Linked DNA regions of Oryzias latipes. The protein of the gene in region 7 interacts with the protein of the main gene of each other region in a biochemical or structural test. Links are inferred from orthologs where the notes say so. Each region holds a gene or a part of one and is shown on either strand. Other genes may lie near its edges. The genes, in order: slc6a3, adrb1, mcm7, dgkz, kcna4, adra1d and snta1.

Evidence for each region.
Region 1: the proteins of snta1 (region 7) and slc6a3 interact in a test that uses a peptide from one of them, tested with the Homo sapiens proteins (2 studies listed by BioGRID and IntAct). The link is inferred for Oryzias latipes from reciprocal best matches to the Homo sapiens genes SNTA1 and SLC6A3.
Region 2: the proteins of snta1 (region 7) and adrb1 interact in a test that uses a peptide from one of them, tested with the Homo sapiens proteins (2 studies listed by BioGRID and IntAct). The link is inferred for Oryzias latipes from reciprocal best matches to the Homo sapiens genes SNTA1 and ADRB1.
Region 3: the proteins of snta1 (region 7) and mcm7 interact in a test that uses a peptide from one of them, tested with the Homo sapiens proteins (2 studies listed by BioGRID and IntAct). The link is inferred for Oryzias latipes from reciprocal best matches to the Homo sapiens genes SNTA1 and MCM7.
Region 4: the proteins of snta1 (region 7) and dgkz form a complex in vitro, tested with the Homo sapiens proteins (2 studies listed by BioGRID and IntAct, with this or other methods). The link is inferred for Oryzias latipes from reciprocal best matches to the Homo sapiens genes SNTA1 and DGKZ.
Region 5: the proteins of snta1 (region 7) and kcna4 interact in a test that uses a peptide from one of them, tested with the Homo sapiens proteins (2 studies listed by BioGRID and IntAct). The link is inferred for Oryzias latipes from reciprocal best matches to the Homo sapiens genes SNTA1 and KCNA4.
Region 6: the proteins of snta1 (region 7) and adra1d interact in a test that uses a peptide from one of them, tested with the Homo sapiens proteins (2 studies listed by BioGRID and IntAct). The link is inferred for Oryzias latipes from reciprocal best matches to the Homo sapiens genes SNTA1 and ADRA1D.

Annotation. Positions count from the first base shown.
Region 1 is NC_019874.2:11,899,132-11,902,631, forward strand, and holds part of slc6a3 (sodium-dependent dopamine transporter), read right to left. Parts: intron 2,443-3,500; coding exon 2,342-2,442; intron 492-2,341; coding exon 324-491; intron 212-323; coding exon 140-211; intron 1-139. UniProt on the Homo sapiens protein: Mediates sodium- and chloride-dependent transport of dopamine. Also mediates sodium- and chloride-dependent transport of norepinephrine (also known as noradrenaline). Regulator of light-dependent retinal hyaloid vessel regression, downstream of OPN5 signaling.
Region 2 is NC_019877.2:5,429,051-5,433,105, forward strand, and holds adrb1 (beta-1 adrenergic receptor), read left to right. Parts: upstream 1-1,255; 5' UTR 1,256-1,921; coding exon 1,922-3,112; 3' UTR 3,113-3,783; downstream 3,784-4,055. UniProt on the Homo sapiens protein: Beta-adrenergic receptors mediate the catecholamine-induced activation of adenylate cyclase through the action of G proteins. This receptor binds epinephrine and norepinephrine with approximately equal affinity.
Region 3 is NC_019868.2:6,634,083-6,636,317, reverse strand, and holds the end of mcm7 (DNA replication licensing factor MCM7), read right to left. Parts: coding exon 2,148-2,235; intron 2,057-2,147; exon of another isoform or gene 1,950-2,056; intron 1,759-1,949; exon of another isoform or gene 1,666-1,758; intron 1,402-1,665; coding exon 1,292-1,401; intron 954-1,291; coding exon 728-953; 3' UTR 501-727; downstream 1-500. UniProt on the Homo sapiens protein: Acts as a component of the MCM2-7 complex (MCM complex) which is the replicative helicase essential for 'once per cell cycle' DNA replication initiation and elongation in eukaryotic cells.
Region 4 is NC_019864.2:26,852,474-26,856,636, forward strand, and holds the start of dgkz (diacylglycerol kinase zeta), read right to left. Parts: upstream 2,801-4,163; 5' UTR 2,724-2,800; intron 1-2,723. UniProt on the Homo sapiens protein: Diacylglycerol kinase that converts diacylglycerol/DAG into phosphatidic acid/phosphatidate/PA and regulates the respective levels of these two bioactive lipids.
Region 5 is NC_019861.2:9,901,504-9,905,432, forward strand, and holds the start of kcna4 (potassium voltage-gated channel subfamily A member 4), read left to right. Parts: upstream 1-1,129; 5' UTR 1,130-2,738; intron 2,739-2,915; 5' UTR 2,916-3,522; coding exon 3,523-3,929. UniProt on the Homo sapiens protein: Voltage-gated potassium channel that mediates transmembrane potassium transport in excitable membranes. Forms tetrameric potassium-selective channels through which potassium ions pass in accordance with their electrochemical gradient.
Region 6 is NC_019859.2:14,271,719-14,274,840, reverse strand, and holds the end of adra1d (alpha-1D adrenergic receptor), read left to right. Parts: intron 1-1,356; coding exon 1,357-1,907; 3' UTR 1,908-2,622; downstream 2,623-3,122. UniProt on the Homo sapiens protein: This alpha-adrenergic receptor mediates its effect through the influx of extracellular calcium.
Region 7 is NC_019863.2:11,975,285-11,979,285, forward strand, and holds the start of snta1 (alpha-1-syntrophin), read right to left. Parts: upstream 2,801-4,001; 5' UTR 2,617-2,800; coding exon 2,331-2,616; intron 2,053-2,330; exon of another isoform or gene 2,014-2,052; intron 1-2,013. UniProt on the Homo sapiens protein: Adapter protein that binds to and probably organizes the subcellular localization of a variety of membrane proteins. May link various receptors to the actin cytoskeleton and the extracellular matrix via the dystrophin glycoprotein complex.

The DNA.
Region 1 (3,500 bases), on a different chromosome or scaffold from region 7:
ACAAGAACATGTTAAGGACACCCAAAACTATTTTCATCGGAGTGGCTCTTCAACAGGGGAACAACATTCTTCAAATAATCCCTTGCAGTGATGTGATATTTAGAGTGTATTGTGATACGAGGAACAAGGGAACACTTACAGTGAACTGCCGAACTTCCCCGTTGTCCACTAGATGATGCTCTGTTTCAGGGGTGATGGCATAAGCTAACCTCTGTTAAAGAAAAGGCAGTTAAAGCCCCTCTTTGAGCAAAAACCGACCAATGAAGAAAGCTCAATAGCCCACTTTACCTTCATGTTTTTAGGAATACATCTTTCAAACTTACGTGGCAAAACTTTCCAGGCAGTGTGCAGAGTTTGTAAATGGCATAGAGAGGAACCATAGTCATGGAGGACATTGCCAGACACCACCCCAGCATGTTAGCCCACGGCGGGAACATGTAGGAGCCGTAGTTTGGAGGGTTGAACGTGGCAAAGCTCACAACAACCATAAACTAGAGAAAAAATGTCATGAAAACATGTGTGCTTTAAGCTTATTCTCACAATAAACATCTCTGACAGTAGACCAAACATTTCACCATAATTTTTATCTGACATTTTAAAAATCAAAGCATGAATGGCAAACTGTATCCATAAACCAATTATTTTTTCTAATTGTTTGCATTTCCCGCAAAGCCAAAGAGCCACTAGAAATGTCGAAAAAAACACAATTTAGCAATTACACCGTTTCAATTAAATCATGAGTGCGAATAAACCAACTCACACCATATGTCATTCAAAAACATGGCGACGGATGTGAACAATACTTTGATTTACAGCAGATTCAATTTCCTGCCACACTACTAGCGCTCATCATCTACCAAAGGAGATGTTGGGATCATCTGCAGTGGCAAGTACACTTGGAGACGGCTACAGATGAAGCGAGTTGGGGAAAATGTGGTTGGTGATGTTACAGATGAGCTGTGGATCCAACAATTCCTCATGACAAGCTCAACTTTTGATGAGCTCTGTGACCTATGTGGCGCCCGCTGTGCAGTTTCTACCAAGAAGCGCATTGCCATCCGGTTGTTGGTCACAAGACTCATTTCATTTAATTGTGGGCCGGCCGTAGTGCAGCGGTAGGGCGGTCGACCTATGATCGTAAAATTGCAGGTTCGCTTCCAGACTTGCACACCCATGTGTTGAAGTGTCCTTGGGCAAGACACTGAACCCCACCCTGCCTCTGGTGAGAGGTTGGCGCCAGTGTTCGGCAGCAGAGTGTGTGAATGTGTGTGTGACTGGGTGAATGGGTCTGTGACTGTAAAGCGCCTTGGGCCTTTTAGGTAGAAAAGCGCTATACAAGTGTACGCCATTTACCAATTCATGTTTCCATTGCAGTTTTGCAAAATGTGTCAATTTCAATATGCCTAAAAAAACCCACTCCCTTCAAGAACAAAAGGTTTTCCGAAATTGTTGTGTTTTCCTTAGGCAATTTTATTTCATAGTCAATGGAAATGCAGCTAATGAGAGATAAAAGAGCCACAAGTTGAGCCTGCGACCTGACATGGGTAAAAAAATAATGAATTTGTTCCCACAAAATAATAATTCACGTGATAAGTCATTCTTAAACACGGATGTGAGCAATACTTGGATTTACAGCCAAAACCTTCACGTTTCTGTCTGTGTTTATCTCACTGCATTGCATGGAAGACACAGAGGATGTTTAGAGATCGGATTTATTTATTTTAAAAAGCTCTACAAAAGCATTGGTAATCCCGTCTCCATGTCTAGGTTCATTCACATCACGGTACGCATTCTGTGCTGCCGCAAAAGCCTCATTCTGCCGCTACTTCTGTGTCTCTGTGACCCACACTAATTCAAAATGGGAAAAATAAAAACAAGAATCAACCTAGGGGATCTTTTTTATCATTTTCTCTATGAAAATAAGTAAACGTTTTTTACCTGTTGAAAATACGGGGTGTGTAAAAGGTCACAATTATTACAAATTACTATTTATTTTTGTACCGATGTCAGGTAATTAGTAGCTTTGAGTTTGTGTGGAAAATGGACAAAATTTGCTAAATATTACTGGTGAATTTGCGGGCATTACCCATTTACAGGTAATAAGACAAAAGCAAACTGTGGAATCATGTTCAGAACTACATTCATACTTAAATTGAAAATCACTTTCACAGTAGTGACTTTCTAACTTCCATAGACTTTGTGGGAAATGCACTACTGACAAATTGCCACTGTCATGATGGAAAATATGAATTAAATATATTAACACAACATTCACATTTCTACCCTATCCACTTATGTTTTTCTTTATTGTCTTCCCTTGTTTGTGGATAGTATGACTCACCAGAAGGAAGCATGGGCTGACAAACTTCCAGCAAAGCCTCCAGTACCTGCCTGGTCGATGCCCAATCATCTCCTTGATGTCGTCGCTAAAACGATCAACACCTCAAGCAGAAATAAAATATAAACTTAGGCACTCAGTTAAAGCAAATATTGTCTTATGCAAATATTAAAAAAGAATATATCCATATTTTGGTGCATTTTTCCAAAAGCTGAATATTTTAGGATGAAAATATGAAAAATAAAATTGGATCATTACAAAGTTGAAAGTCTATACCATCAAGCTTTTTCCCATCCAAGTATCTTTTTTTTTCGTTTTTGTGGTTACCTGAATCAACGGCATCTGTCATTGCAGGGGAATATATCTTTACTGACGACCAAGTATTCAACACAGCTAAATGAGCTTTAGCAGAGTGAAAGACCACAGCAGTCATGGGGTCAAAGGGTATTTACCGGTAGTTATGAAGATTGAAATAAAAGGCCTACAGACACTCCCTCCAGGACCTGGGTTTGATTTATCTGCCTTGCCAAGGTCAGGACCCACCAAAGTGGGGCAATATGCCGACTCCTTCGCCTACGGCCTTCTTAGTATTTGGGCCCTTATCCACCTCTCTACCGTCAAGCTCAGATGACACGAGAACATACATTTCTTAAAAAAAAAAAAAAAAAAAAAAAAAAAGAAAACTCCTGATTAAAGTTCCGGTCAGTTGTTCTCAAAGACCTTTACTTTGATTTTTTTTATACCCTGTAAGTGTTTATAAGTTAAGGGTAATACTTTTTCTCCCATGTTTTAGAATGTTGAGGTGCCATTAATCTGTAAAAACTCTTCCCTCCTGCCTTTTAAATTTTTTATCACTTCGCAAAATCCGTCACAGTTGATATTATTCGGCTAGTAGCTCGTACTGGACTGCCTGATCCTTCGTCGCAATTTTCTTTTTGTTGTAGCCTCACCACTGCTGAGTGAGCACAGATGTCGGAGTGGTAGAAGTCAAAATTTGTTACATTTGTTCCCTTTATCAGGACCACATCAATAGCACCGAAACATTAACCTCACGGAGTTTTGGGGCAAAGAATGAAGAAGCCCAAACTATTGGAAGAAATAGACCTTCTAGCTGCAGCACACTTTGATCTAATAGCACCAGACTGAACTGAAGCACAGAACA
Region 2 (4,055 bases), on a different chromosome or scaffold from region 7:
GAAGAAATAATAGGCTTCTGGTTCGGATAGTTTTAAAGATTTTGTCATAAAAGATCGAAATGGTGGTTGTTCATTTACAATCAGCGTGCAATAAATATAATAAAAAGTATTGTTGTTAACGTCAACTGTTTTTGACCATAAATAGCTGGAGAACCATTTCTATCATGTTTTTTATGTATTTATTTTCAGCTGATAAAACAAAACCTAAACAGCATAAACAGAAATTTAACAATGATTGACAATATTTAAAGTTTGTAAAAAGGGATTTGGATGAACATTAAAAGTCCCCTTTTTTTTCAGTTGGAAGGTTGTGAGTTCAAATCCAGGCCGAGTCATACCAAAGACTCTAAAAGTTTTTTTTGATTCTTTTTATTTATTACATTTTAATAAATAATTAATAATTAAAATAAATAATAATTTGATCTGAATTCAGTCTCTAAAGTTTATATTTATACAAACTGTATTTTTTGCATATTACAAAAGGTTGAGACTGAAAACAAACAGAGAAGGTTTTCAGGAAGAAAGTAAATATCAATGAATCTTATTTATTCCTTTATTTCTATTGCGTATATCACCCTTTTACAATTGTTTTAAAAACTTTTTTATATTTTCAATTTTTAATGTCTTTCTTGCAATTATTCCACATGTGAACTGGGGTTTTTTAGTCTTAAATAAAATGATATAGCTCTGTTTATGAATGTCATCTGTCAAACCTGACTAAATTAACCAACAAGCTTTCAACGTAAGACTATTTGTCTTAAGAGGACTGAGGACAGAGGACTGTGGACAGAGGACTGTGAACAGAGTCCTGCGTTTGCCGCTTCTCTTTGGACCAAAATAGGAAAATTCTAAAATGGTCCTCAGAAATATATTTTGGTGTTTATTATTGGAGCTGAATGAAGAATTTGAGAGTTTATGATTCCCAACCAACCATTCACTTGAGGTGAAACTAATCCAAAAGAACAAGGAAAGCCTCTAATTGGCCCCTGAGCTTAAGGGGTCTAACCCATGACTCCTGAATGTGGATTTAGATTGAAAGTACTTTTCCAGCAATGAGGTCACTTTAAATATGATAAAAATAAGCTTTCCCAGGTTTATTTTCTCAAAAACAACCAGTCTGTCTATCTTAGGGTCACTTGAGGGATGTTAAGACTGCTTCATGGTTGATGTCATGTTTCAGCTTCAGACGAGGGGTCACAGAGGTCATGAGGAGTGGTCCAGAAATAAATCCAGCTTCTTCTTTGGTGTTTAAACTTTAAACGCTTGCCGTTCAGTCAGTTCCCATCTGGAGCTCTTCATGTTCATTTGAACCACTCAGCCCGTGGACAAGGAGAAGAGAGGTTGTCGACAAGGAATCTGGGAATTCTGACTGCCAGTCAAACCCAGCGTAGCTTTATGGCTTCTGATAAGGTGGGAGTCGATCTCAAGGGAAGCATTTCTGGAGGTAAAAATATAAATGTGGAACAACAAATCTGGTTTGCCATGGAGGGTGATGAAAGCGGGAAAATCCCTCTGGATTTTCACTTTTGGCCTGGTGTTCCCACAGTGCTGGAATTTTTTTTTTCAGGAAACAGGGACAGTTTGTGTTAGTAAGTAACAAACATAAAGTGGTGCGTTTTAGGGTGTTTTATTTTCAGAAATATGATACAAAAAAGAGGCCGAAGTTGATGTTGCCTCCTCTGATCCACTGGGACCTTTGTTCCACTGGACTGCCTGATTGGTCGCACTGATTGATGATGTCACCCGTGTTTCAGTCCCCGCTGGGGGGGCATCAAGCGCAGAAGAAGAAAGCAGCTCCAGATGGAGTTTGCGCGCGCTGGGATTGGAGCTGCGTCTCTGTCGAGCGCAGCAGAAGGAAACGGCTGCTGCGCGCTGCCTGAATGAACTCACCCTGCTGTCAAACGCAGCGCAGCAACGCGCCATGGGGGACGGCGGCGCGTCCTCTCCAGTGACCCCCCACAACGGCACTGGAACCGAGGCGTCCAACGGGCAGGGCACCGTTCCAGCCGCGTCCGAGCAGTGGACAGCAGGCATGAGTCTGGTGATGGCTTTGATTGTGCTGTCCATTGTTTTTGGGAATATCCTGGTGATCTTGGCCATAGCCAGGACGCAGAGGCTGCAGACCCTCACCAATGTGTTCATCGTATCGCTGGCCAGTGCAGATCTCATCATGGGCTTACTTGTTGTGCCGTTTGGCGCTGTGCTCGAGGTGCGCGGCTTGTGGCTTTACGGCTCTTTTTTCTGTGAGATCTGGACCTCTGTGGATGTCCTCTGCGTCACCGCCAGCATAGAGACCCTGTGCGTAATCGCCATAGACAGGTACGTGGCCATCACTTCACCTTTCCGCTACCAAAGCTTGTTAACCAAAAGTCGGGCCAAAGCGGTGGTGTGTGTGGTGTGGGCCATCTCTGCGCTGGTCTCCTTCCTCCCCATCCTGATGCACTGGTCCCGCGACAGCATGGACACGGACTGCTACGAAAACCCCCAATGCTGCGACTTTGTCACCAACAGGGCATATGCCATCTCCTCCTCCGTTATCTCCTTCTACATTCCTCTCGTGGTGATGATTTTTGTTTACGCACGCGTGTACAGAGAAGCGAAAAAGCAGCTCAAAAAGATCGACAAGTGTGAGGGCAGGTTTCACAACACCCTGACAGGGCTGACCTCCAAGTGCAAGAAGAGACCTTCAAAGATCTTGGCGCTCAGGGAGCAAAAGGCGCTGAAAACTCTGGGAATCATCATGGGGACGTTCACTCTGTGCTGGCTGCCCTTCTTCATAGTCAACGTTGTGCGCGTATTTTGCGCAGAGCTTGTGGACAAGAACGTCTTCGTGTTCCTGAACTGGCTGGGTTACGTGAACTCTGCCTTTAACCCAATTATTTACTGCCGGAGTCCGGACTTCAGGAAGGCTTTTAAGAGGCTGCTGTGCTGCCCGAGGCAAGCCGATCGCAGGCTGCACATCAGCTCCTGCGACCTGACGCGCTGCTCCGGCGGGTTCGTGTCAGCGCTGGAGCCTGGCACGCTGGAGATGTGGTCCGACTGCGCCGTGTTGGACAGCAGCGACAGCATCCTGGTGGGGACGAAGCTGCCGCGATCTGAATCCCAGCTGTGAGGTGGATTAATGCACTCTTATGGGAAACTCAAAAACAAAACAGAAATAACTTGATGATCCTTCTTTCTCAAAAGCTGTGCGTAAAAGTCATCCTCCAAATTAGCTAGAATTTTTTTATTGCAATTTCCCATCTGAATCAATTCACAATGCCGACGGATAACGATTTATTTTATATAAATCTGCACTTTGACTAATTAAAACGCAAATCTTCCTTTCATGGAGGAAGAACGAACACCTAAGCAGAAAATGTTTCATCATAAATCCGTGGGATAACTTTCTTCTCTCCTCTCTGGAGAAGGGGAGAAAAAAAAATATTGCTCCACCTTAACGAAGTACAACAGTTCATCTGTAAATGGCGGCTGATGCGCACTTTTCATGAGCAAAAACCTTTTGTCCAAGTGTTCAATTCCTCTTACAATGTGTTTTACCTCACAGCAAAGACAAGTGCAATTTGTATGACATGTTGTTGTTTATATTAAACATGATGTAAAATAGCTCTGCATTTACTCTGTCTTTTTCAGCTGGGAAATGAAGGACAGGTGATTGTATATAATGAAGTGTTAAGCACTAAAGGGAGGAAACTGGGCCTCTCTGACTGTCTGTCTCTCTTATTTTAAATGCTGTTATGAGGTGGTGCTTCTGTGAAAATAAAAGATGGTTTCATTCTTAAATGTTGGAGCTTTTATTTCCTTCCAGGGAGCAATGACACTAAACTTCTCCACATATTTTTGAATATTTTCCTTTTTCATCAGCTACAAAGTAAGAATAGAAGAGGTATTTTATTTGAAATGTATATGGCATCAGGTGATGCTTTCAATGCGTGGATTAGGACTGCTGGATCAGGGTCAATCAATTAGCAAACAGCTTTTTCTTCTTTTCCTTTCGGCTTTTCCCTACAGGGATTCCCACAGCCAATCAGCTTTCTCCATCTAACCCTGTCTTC
Region 3 (2,235 bases), on a different chromosome or scaffold from region 7:
TTTTAGTCAGCCACCAATTGTGGAAGTTGTTCCACTTCAAAAGATGAGACCAGAGAGAAAAATCCCCTCCACAGAGATCCCAGCTGAGAACTGAACCAGGACCATGCAAGAGCACCAACCTGTCTGTTCAGTAGGTTAGTGTTTGGTTAATCGCCTCCATTGATGTTCTCCGTTTACCTCTCTTTGGGGCCCAGTTTTGAGAGTGTATAAATAAATCTATTCAATAGAATCGTACTTCTGAGCATTTTCCTTTGGCTCACTTAGATTGGTCCATCACAGACACTGACAGCCCCGTCTGTCCTGAAGCCTTGTTTATGCATTGTTTACTTTTCCCATAATTCCACTGTCTAAAGCAAATCTTTGTTGCTTGAGCTCCAGATTTGCCTGCAGTTCAGTTTCTCCCCGTTTTACAGAGAAAACTAATACAAAAAAGAAAATAAAGGCTACCATTTCTGAGTTTTGTAACCTAAAACAAACACTGGAGAGAAACAACCATCACACAGATTTGAAAGGTTTATTATAGTTTTCTAACATTTGCAATTATAAATGTACAGAGAAGCTCTGCATCAACTGATGCAAGGAGCTGTGACCTGAATAAACAAATACTAACTTCTGACGTACATATTTACAAGCACTGTGGCCGTTCACAGGACCATAAAAGCGGCGACACATATGGATTATGACCACATTCAGAGGGAGTCCTCGCTCTGAAGATGGAAGGGACCGCTCAGACGAAGGTGATGCGGCTGCGCGCCTGGTTGATCTGCCACACGTTCAGCTCCTCGTACTCCTCCAGAGCCTCCTGGAACTGAGCGGGCGTGAAGCCCCGGGAGACGCAGCGCTGCTCCGCTTCAGCCATGCGGACCACGCCGCCAGAACCGCCGCGACCCGCCGCGCTCTCCGTGGCCAGCTCCCGCACCAGAGAGAAGATGACGTCAGCTGGACGGTGGGCCCTGAAAGGGGAGAGGACACAGTCAGAACAGCCTTGGTAGCATTCCCAGCATGCATCACTGTCAGAATGCCCACCAGCATAGCAATACAGCACAAGAAAAGGGTCAGAAATGTCGCTAAAGAAAACCACACCAGTGTGAGATCTGGGCTGAAGTGTGAACATGACATCAGCGCCTGCTCAAGTGAACAGGAAACCGAACACAAAGCTGTAAAAACCTGGAGGTTTTACAGCTTCCTGCAGGTCACACAGACACTCCTATTTAAAAAAGAAAACCCTAAAGGGATCCGGCTACTGGAGTGGTTGTACCATACCCTCTGCTCTGTAATGTTTGATACCAACCTCGTCGCGCTGGACTTGTCTGCTTGCAGCGAATCCTTTGACATCTCCATGAGTCTCATGGCCTCGTTGACATCTTCCTTCTCCACCGTGTCCATCATGCGAAGCCGGGCCTGCAAACGAGCAGAGAAAGTGCGGGCGGGGTTCAGACGGGGGTTCTGAGGGGCCGGCACTCCTTAATCTGACCGGACCGCGTCGACGGAGGCTGCGCTGTGCCGGCACTGTCAGACCGAGACAAGTGCAATGCCCTCTGGGATGCCCGGCAATTGCCCAAGTCTCCGCCTCTCAACACCAGCTAATCTCTCCACAGGTCAAACAAGCACATGGACATTAAAAATAAAACCATGTAGACTTCATGTAGAAGGCATAGATGGCAGTGCTGGCCATAGTCAGTTTTGCATGGGTTTGCACAGCTGCTCCAGGCATGCACAGGCTGACTGCCCACCCTGCAAAGCTGGCCAGGACCAGAAGATCCTTGACAGAAGTCTCAAACGCTCGTTCTCCTCATCGAGACCCTGCAGCGCCCCCCTGTGGACGGTCCATCAGTTTACCTGAAGTGCTGGTTTTGCAGTAGCTGGTGACTTCTACCTGCACAAACAGCACTTTTGGTAACCAGAGGCAGAACCACAGACGACTGTCAGAGAGGTAACAGAGAAACGGAGGCGCTTTGGACCAGCGTGGGAGAGAAGTGCTCACACTGCAGTAGACTGTTCTGATCACTACCTGCACTGTAAGCACTTTATCTCATGCTGGGCAGCTAATGAAAGCATAAACCTCCAAAGACTTTGAAGGGAGCGAACTCAGAGGTCCGATGGAGCTCCTGCCAAGCAGACGTGTCACAGGTTTTTCATGTCCTCACCAGGGCGGTGGAGAGGCGGAGGATGGAGAGGAGGGTACGAGCAGAGGTGAAGGTGGTGTCTTTGCTGACTCTGGCCTCCTTCCTCATC
Region 4 (4,163 bases), on a different chromosome or scaffold from region 7:
TGGTTGTATAGTTTTTGACGCGGCGCGTCAAACCAAAAAAACAAACCCGAGGCGTTTTTTTAAAAAATAACGCTTTTACGCGTGGCGTTTTTCGCGTCGGTGTGCACACTCACATTGGTGCCCCTTGTTTAGTCATGAGGCGTTAAACGTCGGTCCCGGTGTGTACAGGCCTTTAAAATGTGAAAAACTATATAACATACATTAAAGATGAAATTTCTCATAAAATATTGATTGTAGCATGAATATGCTGACAAGTCTTCATTACCAACTCATATAAATGTAGACATTTATTCATTTTTGAGAGATTGATTTTCACAGAATGATGTTTTCACGGAAGTTGCACTTTGTTGACGGTCCCTTGGCAGGCGCCTTGCTGCATGTCTGCATTTACAGCTGGAAAAGACCATTTCTAATAAAAGTGCAGAAAAGAAACAATCTTTTCTTCAGAAATGCATTTGTAGTTCTCTCTCTGTGTTAATACAAAATGATTGAGATACTTGCTGTCACATTTGATCGTTTATCAGAAGATTGAAGCAGGAAGTCCCAATCTGTGAAGATCTTTCTGACTTTACCAAGTTCTCTGAGTCCTGCACTCTGATTGGTTGACTCCCTCCTCCCCCCCTTGTTCCAATATCGGACACAGATCAGTTTTGACACAAGTATCTTGCAAGGAATGTATCAAAAGTCAGGGTGCAGTTGTAACGCACAAGTGATTTGCGCCCATGGATTGGAGCACATTTGAGCAGTTGTAATCACAGATTTGAGACTGTAACTCTAAATGAATACATGCAAATGGGAATTTGTCGGTTCTGATATTGTTTGTCAGACTTTACAGCACAAGATTTTTACACACAGATGCAGATGATTGGTGCACACGTTTTCACAGTTCTCACATCAAACCTACAAGCTCGTCCATTAAGACACATTTTTACCTTCATAATTTTTCTATTGACAACCCCATCTGTGTTGTTTCTATTATCTGCCTTCTGTTATCTTTTCTGCGTTGATTTAACTTGTCTTTTTACTTCGAGACCATCAACCTGTACTGTAGGAACTAAAAATGGAAATTAGACTAAAAGGCTATAATCTTATATATTTCCTCTTTTTAATTAGGATGATTTAGTTTTTAGCCTAAATCAAAAAAGCCTGTGTGGTTTTCTAGGACATTGTTTCTGCAGAGCAGCAGTGGTTCTTTCGAAATTCCCCTCTTAATTGTGGGCGGGACTGTTTGTGTGGAAGTAAGCCTCAGCTGATATCTCAACATCCCATTGTTAACACTCTGCACTGCTAGCTTACAGCCCCTCACAAATAAAAACCAACATTCCCAGTGAAACAAAAATGACGAGCAATCTTGGAGCTATCCAGCTGTACAGCTTTGAGCCAGATACCAGCTCAGATCAGGAAAATGAAGATGTTATGCATCTATTTGTCTGCAAGTGGATGCATCAGGGCAGTGTGACTTCTTAACCTGTTGTTTCGTTTCAAAAGAGAGCTTCTTTCATCTGCACCTAAATTCACAACGATTTGAACAAAGAAATACTCACAAGTGCAGTTTTAATCCTAAATTCTTTCATAGATGTCATCCAACATGTTAAAATCACCCAAAACATGATTTTCATTGATGTGCGTCTTTCAACTAAGATTATTTTGCTGTTGAAAAACTTTTCTGTTTATTTTTATAGCAAGAACAAAAAAAAAAAATTCTTGAAAAAAAAGCTCCTTTTACTTTTTTTTTACACTACGTTGTTAAGCAAAAGACAGTAGAATGGGCTTTAATCTTCTTCTTATAACAATATATTAAAATCTAAATAAATCTAAATATAAAAAGGACAAAACTTAATTAGTTTAAAAAAATTAACCAAAACTGCAAAGCCAATCTTTTTTATCATTATTAGCCATTTCCTTTAAAGCTAAGGAGCCACAAAAGAAGGGATGAAGCCACAAATTGCTGAGGAAAACTGTTTTTAGATCACCCAAAATAAAGGGACGTAATTTCATAAATAAAAAAATAGAACAGAGTCACACGGCCTGCCCATTAAGTTTTCTTTTTTACCTTGCTAAGTAAATAAAGATGTATTTGAAATGACTGGAAAAGTAATGGGTTTTTTTTTTCAGTTTACTCTCCAGCACTGTCAATAATTACAGGTGGACGTAACTGGTTAAAGTTTGACTCAACAGTTTATTTTTTCATTTTGCTCCAAGTTAATTTTTTCTTCTTTTAACCCTGTGTGTCTGGATGGGCTACCAGGCTGTCGAATCACTCAAACAGCATGAAGACATCTCGTCATCTCCAGCAGTGACCTGTGGCCACAGACGGCCAGAAATCATGCTGAAACGAAAACTGCCTCTCTGGAACAGATGTTCACCATACTCATGGAGAAAAGGGATTTTCTAGTAAGATTTTAATTAAAATAATCTGTTTTAGTCCATTATTTATCCAATATAAGGGATTATTTCCTAAAGTTTGGAGACTAAATGCAAACAGATGCTGGGATTTTTTTCTCTCTGTATCGCTTAGAATGCAGAGAAATAGTTAGTAAATTTGAAGTCAGGTTGACAAGAAGCAAAACCGAAATGCAAAGTTCAAAGCAGCAAAACACTACAGGAGTCAGACTAATCTGAGCTAATCTGCCTCACTCATCCAGAGACAGATCCAGGAACAAGGACTGAGAAGGTCCAGCAGGTCCAACACAACACAAAGCGAGGAAGCAGCAGAATACAACCTGAGGAGGCTGAGGAGAGCAGCTCCAGCAGAGATGAAGAGCAGAAACACACTGAGGCACTAAGTCTCCCACAGAAAACACACACTCACTAAGCTGCCGTCAAAAATAACCTCTCAGCAGAAAAACTGCTCTGAGTTCAGCTGCACGCCGCTGACCCCTGCTGGCCACCCGGCCCAGCTGACCCAGGATCAGCTCATCAGCAGGCAGCTTCAGGCTTTGTGATCACGCACTTCAGCACAGCGGCAGACATGAATGGAGCCGCCGGCCGCCCTTCATTATCACTTCAAGGCCCATGGCTGCTGCATTATGGATCCAATTAGAAAGAAAAATGACAGGAAGCAAAGCTGCATGTTAAACTGACACTGAGCTCTGACTCACCAACACTCACCAACAGACTCTGAAGGACTCACAGCCTGAGCACACGACCACAGGACTCACCAATCAGAGCCGCAGCCTGGAGCCTCATCTGGAGATCTCCAAAGAGCAACTGATGTGGAGCCGAAGCAGCTTCAGATCAATCACACATCCAGAGGAGAAAGCAGCTCTAAAACAGCTTAAGCTCCAGAGAAGATCCTGGTTAACTGAACCTCCAAAACCCAGAGAAAAATCAATGCTTATTACATATTTGTTACCGATACTGTTAACTGAAATTGTGAATGAATGGTTTCCGAAGATAATCAATCATTTTGTTACTTGAAAAGAATCTATCGGATCAGAACCGGATTACAAAAATTAAAACTAAAAAATGAATTAACTCAGTAGGGGTGGGATTATATAAATTCGCTTCTTCCCACTTCTTTTCAAGCAATAAATCAAACTCTACTTGACTTTAGTTACTGATCACTGTATTTAATTAAGCAAAATGTAATTTCAGTGACTTTTTTGTTTTGTTTTATTTTCTGTCTTATTAAACTATGCATTTCAACATTTCTGTAATGAGTTTGATGAATATGTGTAAATTCTTTATTGCTTTGACTACATTGCTTGAAATAAATCAATAAATCAAAACGGAAAAACAGAACCCAGGCTGATGTAGAAACAGCAGAAAATCCTACAAACAAGAAGCCCAGAAACTTCTGAATGCTCATTTATAAAACTCAACTTTCAAAATGTAAAACTGAACATTTTTAGCTATCACGAAATTTAAACCGTTAAAAACAAACAATCCAAATGTCTCAGAACTGTACAGGAGGAGCCATGCATGGAGTTGGGATGAAACAAGGAACTGAAATAGACAAGCCGACTGTGACAAACACCAGCAGGTCTGGTTCTGTTATCACGAGTCCTGTGTTCGGGTCAGATGAACAGTCTTCAAACCAGAAAACACCTGAAAACACCTAAAGACCTGAGTGCTGCAGCAGCAGCATTGAGATCCACCAACATCCCACATGAGGCGGTTCAGCTTCAGGAACCAGAACATGTTCTAGAACAAACTCATCT
Region 5 (3,929 bases), on a different chromosome or scaffold from region 7:
AGTTGGTTTATCTGGTGAACCCAGACATGGCGACAAGCCTGGCCACGAATGTGTTATTTTTTCAAATAAAGACAAACCAATACTACTCTCCGGACAAGAGGGGGATCTACTTCCAATGCAAGGACGCTAACAAGAACCGAACCGTTTAGTACCCAAATCGCAAGATTTGCTCCGCTTTGACATTTTGCGCCAAGCCTCTTCCAACTGTAGGTGGCGAACATGCAAAAGTAGCTAGCAAACAGTAAAAAAAAAAAAAAAAAAAAAAAAGAGGAAGAAGCCCCTCCCTGCTTGCCCAGTGTGATACCATAGGCTAAACGCATAATGAATGTCAGGGATGTTTGTAGCTTTGGTGAGCTGGAAACGGAAATTTTGAAGAGTTTTAAATTTTCTGAGTGAAAAAATAACATAAAACTGTTAAGACATGAAAAAGAAACAAGCTTAGTGCATAATTTAGAACTCAAAAATTATTTTTGTTCAATCTTCAGAAGGTAAAGTGACAAAATTTGAATTGAGGCTTGCTTAGGAAAAAGTGAAATGTGGGTTTTTAATGGCTTATTTTGTAAGAAAAATAGTTGAGGAGTTCCAAAACACACATGTGAGAGTTAAAACACAATACTGTGATTACTGCATTGCTTACATATATGAAGTTTTCATTATACCTTGGCCCAGCTTTGCACACTTGCACCTTTCACTTACATTGCTGTCAAAAAAGGACTTTTTTCATTCCCAGATAGTGATTATGTTTTTCAAATACGTCTTCAATGTCCTCATTCTAATCAAAGTTGTATGATTAGTACGGAACAGATCCAGTATCGCTTCATGCCAAATAACTTTTGGTCGAAACGATGAACGAATGTCATCATCCAATCAGCAATGTCCCATAGTCCCTACCTTTTCCAGGTTCATATTCTGTTTTTTTTTTTAAACATTTAATTTTGATTTTTGGAAATTACTTTTGTTTTCCAAAATATTTCACTTTTATTTTGTTTCCTTTTTTTTTCTTATTTTGTTTGGTTTGTGGAAATTCTTTTGGATTTCTAAAATGTAATGTTTTTTTTCTTATTTGTTTTCCTTTTTAAATTGTGGTTGGGATCTTTAATTTATTTTTGCATTGAATGATTTGTTGGTGTAATTTCCACTTCAGGGCCACCATAAAGGCAATGGACTCATATTTCTTCCAAAGATTCAGCGAGACATACAATGAGGGCCAGATGCTTGCGGTGGAAAGCTTTAAAATGCTCTTGGTACATCACACAGTCTGAAAAAACATCAGGAGTGGCACAAAGTCGCCCTGGTTTCTACTGTTTTCTCTTTCAAAAATCTTTGAAATGCGCCCAACTGCATTTAACCTCTGAACTGCATGTTTGCAGCTCTACAAAACAGGTAATGCTGCCTATTTGGAGAAGACATTCTCCCAACTGTAGGAGAACCTCAGATGTCATTCTGGATCCAGAACCATGGTGGTCCATAAAATCTCCACTAGACTCTCCGTCCATTCATCGCTTAATCCAAACCTTCAGAAATGACGATGCTTGGCCAGTAATTTTCCTGTTTCACATAATTGGTTTTACCTGTTGACTCTGTCTGCGTCTATTTCATGATTTACTCTCCAATATGTTCAATCTCATAATATGATAATTAATTTCACTCCCATACCAGATGGTGTTCTTTTTTCCCCTAATTGAACCTCAGAGGAAAGCAGACAAAGGGAGCCTTAATGGTTTTTGATGTTTCCTCATGAAGGAAACTAATAAACATACACTTAAGGATTAATGAAGGTGTAAATTTCAGAAGGAAAACTTGATATTGGCGGGCTTTAAAAATATCAAACCTGATATTTGCATCTACTTTAAAGTTCCCGTCATTTCATTTCAATTCTGCATCAAAAAGAATAGATTCCTCCCGCCGCTTCCTCTGAGCCAACATGGTAAACAGTAAAGGTACAATTCTAATTTCGTGAGGAAGCATGCGCTCTGGTCTAATCACGTGGTTTTGTGAATGAAAAGACAGCGCTGCCATAGTTATTTTCGGGGAGAGAAGCGATGGTAAAGCGGGAGAGGGGCCTCAGCATTGAGACTGCAGCACGGCGCGCAGTGACGCGCTGCATCCACTGGGGGAGGACCGAGCACCGCCTGCGCGCGCTGCGACGCAGGAACCACTTTCTCACCGAGATTCTCCATCATCACTCATACAATGGGAGGGATACAGGAGCATAGGTAGGGATACAGAGGCAGACAGACAGAGGCGTGATGCTCACACTTAGCCGTGGGGACATTTACCCCCTCATCAATGCCTTGCTAAACTTTCCCCCACCCTTGGTTCTTTTTGACCGGGATTGCGCGGAGCAGTCAGTAATGCCAACTCCCTAATCGCACACCTTATTCTACTCCTCCCTCCTATTTCCCCCCCTAAAAGCCGAATGTTGCCTCTATACAGTGAGCGATGCTGCAGGAACGGGGGCCGAAGTGCCAATAGATCCTGTTGAATTGAGACAAGACGTCGAGACGCAGCCAAAAAAAAAGTGTCATCTCCAGAGTGCGTCAGAGCACGGATGTATATACTGGATGTGGATTTTGGTCGCTGGTTGGACACGACGAAGGATTTGGGTATTTTAACGTCCAGAAATTCTAACAGGAATTTGAGGAAACATGTGCATCCTCGCCTCCTATTTCTTCTCCTCCTCCTCCAGCGGATTTGTTTTGGGTGTTGAGGCGGTTTGATTTGGCACCTTTTCAAATGTAAGTATGGATGAAAGGACACTTGTATGTGGAAACCCTGTGCGTAATGTTCGTTTTGACGTTTTTCTATTCGATATTAGCAGTCTAATGATATTATTAATGAAGTTTTATAATCTGCATGATGTATGTAGTTTTCTTGCTATAATATTTACACCTCCCTCTTCCTTATTCTTGCAGGATCTGCTGTAAACATGAGGAATAAAAGTAATTCTGCTTAACCGGGAGTCTACAATACGGCAGACAATATTTTTTGTACCATTTTTTCTTTTGCTTTTCCTCTTATTTTTGGATCCCAGCACATGAGAATGGCATCATCGGGTGACCACGGCAGAGCCAAGGACGCATTTAGGCGCCGATCTCTGGGAAAATAACCACCTGATGGGCTCCGGAGAAGCCGCGGACAGACTGCTTTGGTGTAGCTTGTTGACTCGGTGATTTATAATGCTGTGCATATAGAGGAGGGGGGGCTGCAACTTTTGTCAGAGCGTCTGCGTAACAGGCTATTCCACCGGCCTCTGGATTTTTTTTTTTGTGATGCTAATGATGTCATGCAATCCTAGAGTGTTTGTACCAACATGAGAAGATGGGGCTTCATAACCCCCATTATGTGAGTAGCTTCACTGAACCTGAAGCAGACAGATGTTTCTTGACCTGACCATCTGATTGATCAGAACGGTTCATGCCTTATTCACCCTCCCTGCGCGCGCCGGGCTCCAACTTTTCTCCTCTGCTGTGCGTCCACATCACCTTGAGGCGTTTTATATAGCGCTCAGACAGACTTAAAATGGAGTTTGCTATGGTGGGCGCGGATGGCGGGTGCAACAGTCACCTGCCGTACGGATATGCCCAAGCACGGGCGCGTGAGAGGGAGCGCGAGAGGGAGCGTCAGGCTGCTCAGTCCAGAGCGGCGGCTGCTGCGGCGGCGACCGACGGGGGCCCTGCTGCGGAGGGAGGAGGAGGAGGCGGCCATGGAGGGGGGTCCATCTCCACCACCACCTCCTCGAGCGCTCATCTCCTTAACAACCGCCAGCATCAGTCTCGCGCCGCCTCCTCCTCAACGAGCGCCAACATCAGCAGCGGCGCCGCCTCGCGCCCCTCCTCCTCCTCCTGGCACCAGCAGGATCCCGAGCAGCAGCAGCAGAGAGTTCTCAGAGAGCGGAAAAAGCAGCGCGGCGTCGGACGGTGGAGACG
Region 6 (3,122 bases), on a different chromosome or scaffold from region 7:
AGGTGAGTGACGGCAGACTTCCACACAGGTGACCTTCGTTGGGTAAATCCTGAGACAGAGAGGCAGAACATGAGAGCAAGGCAGGACAAAGACATGGGACTTGAGCAGGCTGACCAGGCGTAGTCACCGTTAGGAGTTAACGAACTGGCGTCGATGAATGGGCTGGATCTCCTTAAGTGTAGGCAGGTTGATGAGATGAGGTGGTCACAGCTGGTGGAAGTCAGGAGCAGAGCTGAGGGGGCGGGGCTGACCGAGGCACCGTGACAACCCAAAGTCAATTCAGTCGTCATCTTTTCACTATACAGATGCCGTAATGTTTAAGCCAGATGACGTCAGTAATTAGTGATTGTTCTGAGTCAGTCTGAGTCATCATATGTGTGGCAACCACTCCTGCTAATCAGGAGTGAGCTTGTTGCAAGGCCGCCCCTACCATTTGAAAGCAGACTCAGGAGAATCTGTCACACCTTTCAAATGTGCAACGTTAGACCACAAACTTCAATGGAGGCCTCTGATTGGCCAGTTTATAATTAGAATAATTTCCACTTCAGAATAAAATATGAAAAAAAGAAATATGATTAGCAAGAACTGAGTAATGACTAAGTAATAGAATTGTTTTCGTCTGTAGAAGTCTATGGGATTTTGGCTTCTTGGAGCCAGTGGGTACCTTCTATTTGGAATGCGAGGGGGCAGGAGTCACATTGTCCAGTTCTCATATATTATCATTGGCAAAAACCCATAATTTATAACCAATACTTGCGTTTTGGTGTAAGTAAATGCGTTTGTGATACGAGCTATAATGGCACAAACAAGCATTAAAAAGTGTTTCCTCTTAGAGTGTCTGTTATTAAAAATGTCACCTGATGACCCTGACAGGTTGTTACCATGCACCTTAACAGTTTTAAAAAGTAGGTTTAATATGCTGCTTAATATTTCATTACCTCTTATTTTTACAGGCCTCAGCTCTTAAGAGTCATATTTCTGATGAACAAAATGTCCTTTTGCTTTTGTTAATAAAAATGACCAAACTTTGAAGAAAAGATTACCCAAAAAATTAATATGAGGCTGTTGAAGATTTAAAAATAAATAACTAAATCTGGCAAAATACCATAATAGGTTGCTTTGCTGGTAATGAGGTTGATGGCAGAGGACCCACTATCATCAATAATTCCAAAAATAGAAACTTTTAAAAAATTTAGATCATGGTTTCTTTATGACTTATAAAATATTTAGATTAAAAAAAAAAAGAACTTATCTGAATGAACTATCCAACATGTAAATCTAATGTATAAAGTGTCCTTACTCTGCAAAGATTTGGCTTCAGTTGATGCTAATCCTCATGTTTCCATCCCTTTCAAGGTTCCGTCTTCCCAGCACTGAAGCCCTCTGAAACTGTGTTCAAGGTGGTGTTTTGGCTGGGATACTTCAACAGCTGCATCAATCCAATGATCTACCCCTGCTCTAGCAAAGAGTTCCAGCGAGCATTCATTCGACTGCTCAAATGCCAGTGCCATCAAAAGCGGAGGGTCCTGCGCCGCTTCTATGACCAGAGGTGGCGGACAGCTGTGAAAGGAATGGCAAGGGATCAGAGGGGAGAATACACACCTGGCTATGCCGTGCATGAATCATGCAGCAGCTCTTTATTGCATAAGAAGAAAGGTTGTTCACTCGGTTTAAAGAGATGGAGCCTTTTTCCGCCTCTGCAGAACTCCTCCTTTCAGTTTAAGGAAAAAGTCAACAATCTGTCCAACAAGATCAAGGGAGGGACAGGAAAAGGAGCCACACCTGGCGGGGGCAGGAGGGACACTGTGGACACAGTTTCAATGGGAATCTGCAATTCTTGTGAGCAGGGCAGTTTTCAGTTCTATGATCTGGCAGAATGTCACGGCCTGAAAGAGACCGACATTTAGAGTTCTCCCTGCAGAGAGTTATTTATTTTCAAAGTGGCCATTCTTAAACAATGTGCAAATAAGACTGTGAGCAGGCACACATTCTGAGAGTTTCACAAAATTATCTAAAATTCTTCACTATGACTTTTCTTAAAATGAAATATTTTGTGAAAGCCAGGTTGTGGAGATCACAACAGTAGCAAACCTATCAGACTGGTTGTTGTGATTTTAAGGCACCATGTGTCTGTGTCATAAAATCAGTGTTTGGATTAGGTACAAAAGAAAAACACAATGAAAAACTAGAAAGAATGCACAAAAAATTCAATTTTATTTCCTTTTGTTTGAATAAAACTGTCTTTTTGGTTTCAAAGGTTAGTGTGTTGACCCTATGTGATGTGGAAAATGATTTGCTTTATATTTTTTTTTTATTTAAAGACAGTAAAGCATTTTATTGACAAGACTGCTGAGTGCAATTTCTATTGTTTGTATCAAATGTGATATCAAACGTGAAATTTCACACTGGACTCAATTTGATCATGTGCATTCTTTAACATTTTGAGAAGGTTTTGTGAGCAAAAAAGGTTATCGAAGAATGAAAATTCTTAACTTGATTTATTTTGTAGGATTCATGGGGAACAATGAAGTAAAACTTGTAAATCCAAATAAGCTCTAATGTGAAATACATGTACTTTTTTGATGCTATGATTATGAATAATAAAAGCTAAATAAAAAAAAGGTAAAGAAGTCCAATTAAATCAGGATTTTTGTTCAGACAAAATACACCAAAGCACCCTGTTTAAAACATAAATCTGCCCTATCCTGAAGATAGGGCATGCACAATTCTTCCCATTGGTTCCTCCTTACCATTAAATCCAACCAATACATTTTTTTATTTTAAAATAGAGTAAATTCAAGACCTGAATGTGTCAGAGATTTTCTAACAAAACCTCAATACTGTGGGAATTGTACAACCAACTCTTTTTAGCTGAAGCTGCAAGAACAGAAAGGGCATTATCAATCAATCTTAATCGCTTCCTGTTATTAGGTTGATCCTAGCAAGAGTACTCTGATCTTTTTCTGTCCAGAGGGGGAGGAGTCAGGCTCTTACTTTGCAGTCACTTGAAATTTTTTACTGAAACCAAGACTAACATATAAAAAAACAGGTTAAATTGATAAGGGAAGTAAAACAGAATAAATACCAAGCAACAATGGACATGTTATTTGATATTAGGGCAG
Region 7 (4,001 bases):
AATTTCGTTTTAATAGCATGCTGCCCTATTTTAAAAACCCTCCATTTCCTAACAGAAGGACATTGCTTTTATGTCATTAGGGCCTGGCTTTGTTCTGTTGTTAACTGAAGAGGAGGGGGACCAAAGGGAACTTGCCACAAGCAGCTACACTGATGAATACACTTGGCAGCTTGACAAGAGGGTAAGTTTACAATTATCTGTCAAATCAGCCCATCGAGTCGGGCAGCTGTCAAATGATTACTTGTTAACACCAACCTGTTTGGAGGCTGCATCTTAAAAATACAAAACAAATTCCTTTCAAACCTTCTACTCTTGTAGTCTTCTACACACTGCCCGTCAGTAAGAAATCCCCACCTTCACATGAGTAAGAGGAACCTTAAATAGGCACTTCAGGTAAAACTCCACAAGTGATCTTAAAATCAAATTAACCTTGTAAATTTGCCTATTTCTTTCGAGAAAATCTGATGTGTCTGATGAACCCATAAAGTAAGAGTTAAAAAGCTATTTCAACATTCTCAAGACAATTAAGACAAAATATCTATTCACCTGCACCTAAATCCATCATTTTTTTGTTGATATAGCTCTCTAGATCCTCCATGTTTTCCTACAAATGGAGGAAATCTGATCCAGATCAAGAAGCCGTGGGTTCTTGGGTTAGTTGCTTTCCTCAACTATGCTATACAACAAACTGGATCAGTCTAGCTTGCAAAATATGGATCATGAACTGTATCAAAACTGGACTGAGTGACCCATCTCCCCTCACGTTCCAAACAAGAAGTACCCGCCGGCTCCAAGACGCCAAATACTATAGACTTTTAATGAAAAAACAAAACCAGTCTGTTGCTATATTGTCAGAGTAACCATACTTGCTCTGATACATTTTTAATATGTTTTTGTTAGTTCTACTATTTTATTATATATGTTTTTCTTAATAGGAAGTTGTTCAAGTAAAAAAAATGATCAATCAGATGCCTCACTACAAATTAGTAGTGCCTGCTGGCACCACATACTATACTGACTGACTAATAGTTGTTTATTTTTTAATAGAAGTCTGTCGCTGTGTCCGAATTCTTTCACTACACACTATATAGTGCGTTTGCCATTTTGTAGTGCTTTTCGAATCTACAATTCAAAAATCGAGTGCCCTAGAAATTTCCCAGAAGTCTGCGAAAAACCAGTGTGCATCCATGCTCACTAGATTGGCGAATATAGACCACAATGCATTGCATTTGAAATTTTTTTGTCAAAAAATGTATTTACATTTATTTTCTTAAAAAAAATATCAACGTTTTCATCTTCACAAGACAGTGGACTCATAGATGATCATCGCAAAATGCTCATTTTAATTAGATTTTAAATTTGTGAAATCGATGACGTCATATTCGCCTTAAAAAAATCGTAGTGAGCATGGTGTCTGAATTGCTTTTAAAATCCAGGGCACTACATAGTGCTGCAGTTTATAGTTTTTTAGTAGTTAGGAATTAGGGTGGGAAATCAGACATAGCGTGTGGGATTTTGGGTTTTTTGGGACCAGCGGATACTTCGTGTTTGGAACAACAGGGGAGGGGCAACTCAGTCCAGTTCTCATATACAGTCAATGATCCAAACACTTAGATTTCTTTTGATTAAAGGTGTATTTCTGACAACTACAACACAATAAACAACATGACAGTGGATATTCAAAAACGTCCTCAATGTCTCTTTGAGGTCCTATCAGAGGAGTCTAAATGTGGAAGCTATTATCCAAGTGAACATATAAAAAATACAATTATGTATTTATGCTTTACTCCTCAGACTACTTTTTGCCGTATAAATACAATCAAATGTTCAAAAACTGTTATGAAAATGAAAGTTTATTATTAATTAGAAACATTTTAATAGATGAAAAAAAAAACATTTTTGCTCATTAATTTAATTATTAAATGAGCACTTTAAAAAAATAGGTCAGTAAAACAATTCTTTTACTAACAGTTCTTTCTTTTATTTTGTCTAAAAACTGAACTGAGAACACACATCCGGTGACTTTTCGGCGCTGAATAGGTTCGCTTTAAGGTGAGGCTTCGCCCGATAAAAACCTCATCTGTCATCATTATTTATGCTAAATATTGAGCCCTCACTCATACTTTCCTATTTTAAAGACAAGTCTGTGTTTGTAAAGCTACATTCATGACAGTTTTTCGTGAGTTAAGTTAGAAGTTAGCTAACTTATCCGCCGTGTCACGTCGTCGTTGAAAGCCGCCACGCTCAAACTGGAAAACTTGCTACCGACTGCGCAGAAGTCGGTAGTCCTTCTGGTTTTGGACCCCCTCCGGTCCGGACGCCGGGCTTACCTTTGATACTGATGCCCAGTCCGCCCACATCTTGCTTGGTGACCCGCACGGTGCGCTTGACGTTGGTGATGGTTTCTGGGACCGGGGACGAGCTCAGGTTTGGGGGGTCTCCGTTGACAGCACCTGCGGGACTCTGGTGGCCGGGCTTCGCGGGCTCGTCGGCGCTGTCGCCGGGGTTCAGAGTGAGCGCGTCCTCGGTCAGCGTGGCCAGCACCCGGACCCAGCGGTCCACTGTCACTCGAAGTTCCAGCAGTCCCGTTTTCTGCGTCTTCATCGCGGCAGCCATGTTCAACGCATTCCTGGAATAACTCTAGACGGGCTGGCAGCCCTGTGAGAGGGGGTGGAGGAGGGCTGGGGGTATGGGGGCATGCACAGATACACACTCAGGGACACAGCCTCGACTCTGTCCCCCGAAGAGCCCTATCCAGTTGGAAGAAGTCAAGTTAATCGAGGTTGATACGATTAGCGACGGTGTTTGACACACACTCAAAGTTCAAAGAGCTTGTTGAATCTCTCCATTAATCATGATCTGTGTGGGGCTGAGTCCCACATAATTAGGTTCCCCCTCCCTCATTCATTCGGTTAGACATGTATTTCTTGCACAGCCCTGCCTTAGATCAGTGATCTAAGTCCCAATGTCCTCAGCTCTGCACTCATACAGATGTTCTGTCAAAAGGGAAAGAAAGTCTGCATATCCTCTAAAAAGACCACCATCGACTCTCGCACCGGAGCTCATTTTTGGGCATGAAATCCACAAAGAGCCCCCTGTTTGAACATGTCCATTATGAGTGTGGGCTTAACGGACCAAATAAAAGCAGACTTGTTGAGCGTTCACTGGAATATTCATCAGAAAGGGAACTCTTCCGACTTTTCTCTGATGAGCTGATACGACTATGGGTCTTGGCAGTGTTTGGCTTTTAGAACTCTTGTGTAAACTGTAAGTGAGCTCTCTGATCGGTTCCAAAGCAGTCACAAAAGAAAAGTATATAGACTGCTTTGGTTCGTCCAAGGCCTACCTGCAATAGAAACTAAAAAACAAACAAGCCATGGGTGTGACATCACTCTTTTTGATAGATTGTAGAATAAAATTTAAGAAAGAAAGTACAAAAATTCTATCAACACTAGAGTAATTTGGCTTTAGTTTAAAATCCCTTTCAGCTTTACGTCTTGCACCGTTTACACCACCCTCAGCAACACACGTTCAAGCAGCCACGTTCAATGAAAAGTCAATATTCAAAACTCACATTCACGCATAGCTGTGCACATTTTTACACCTGTTTTTAAGTTCTAACTACAAAACCCAGGATTTTTGAACGTGCATTGCAAGTTAAACCAGGTGAAACTTTGATCAGTCATCTACCCTGATTTGTTAGTGATATATAGATGGCGTCACTTTTAGTTCACGGAAGTGCCAACCGTTTGAAAATTTATCGTGGAGGAGAAATTATCAATTGCGGTTTGTGATTGGCCAAAATCATATGACACTGAGCTTTGAAAGAAAAAGCCTGGAGCAAGATTCATGAGATTTCCACCACCTTGACATTTCTCACCAAACCTCCTCCAAATGTAGGTGGTGAACATGCGCTAATAAATTTTAGAAAAAAAGAAGTAGCCCCTCCCTGCTTATCCAGTGTGAACACCTTAGGATAAAAAATGACAAAGTGCTAAACG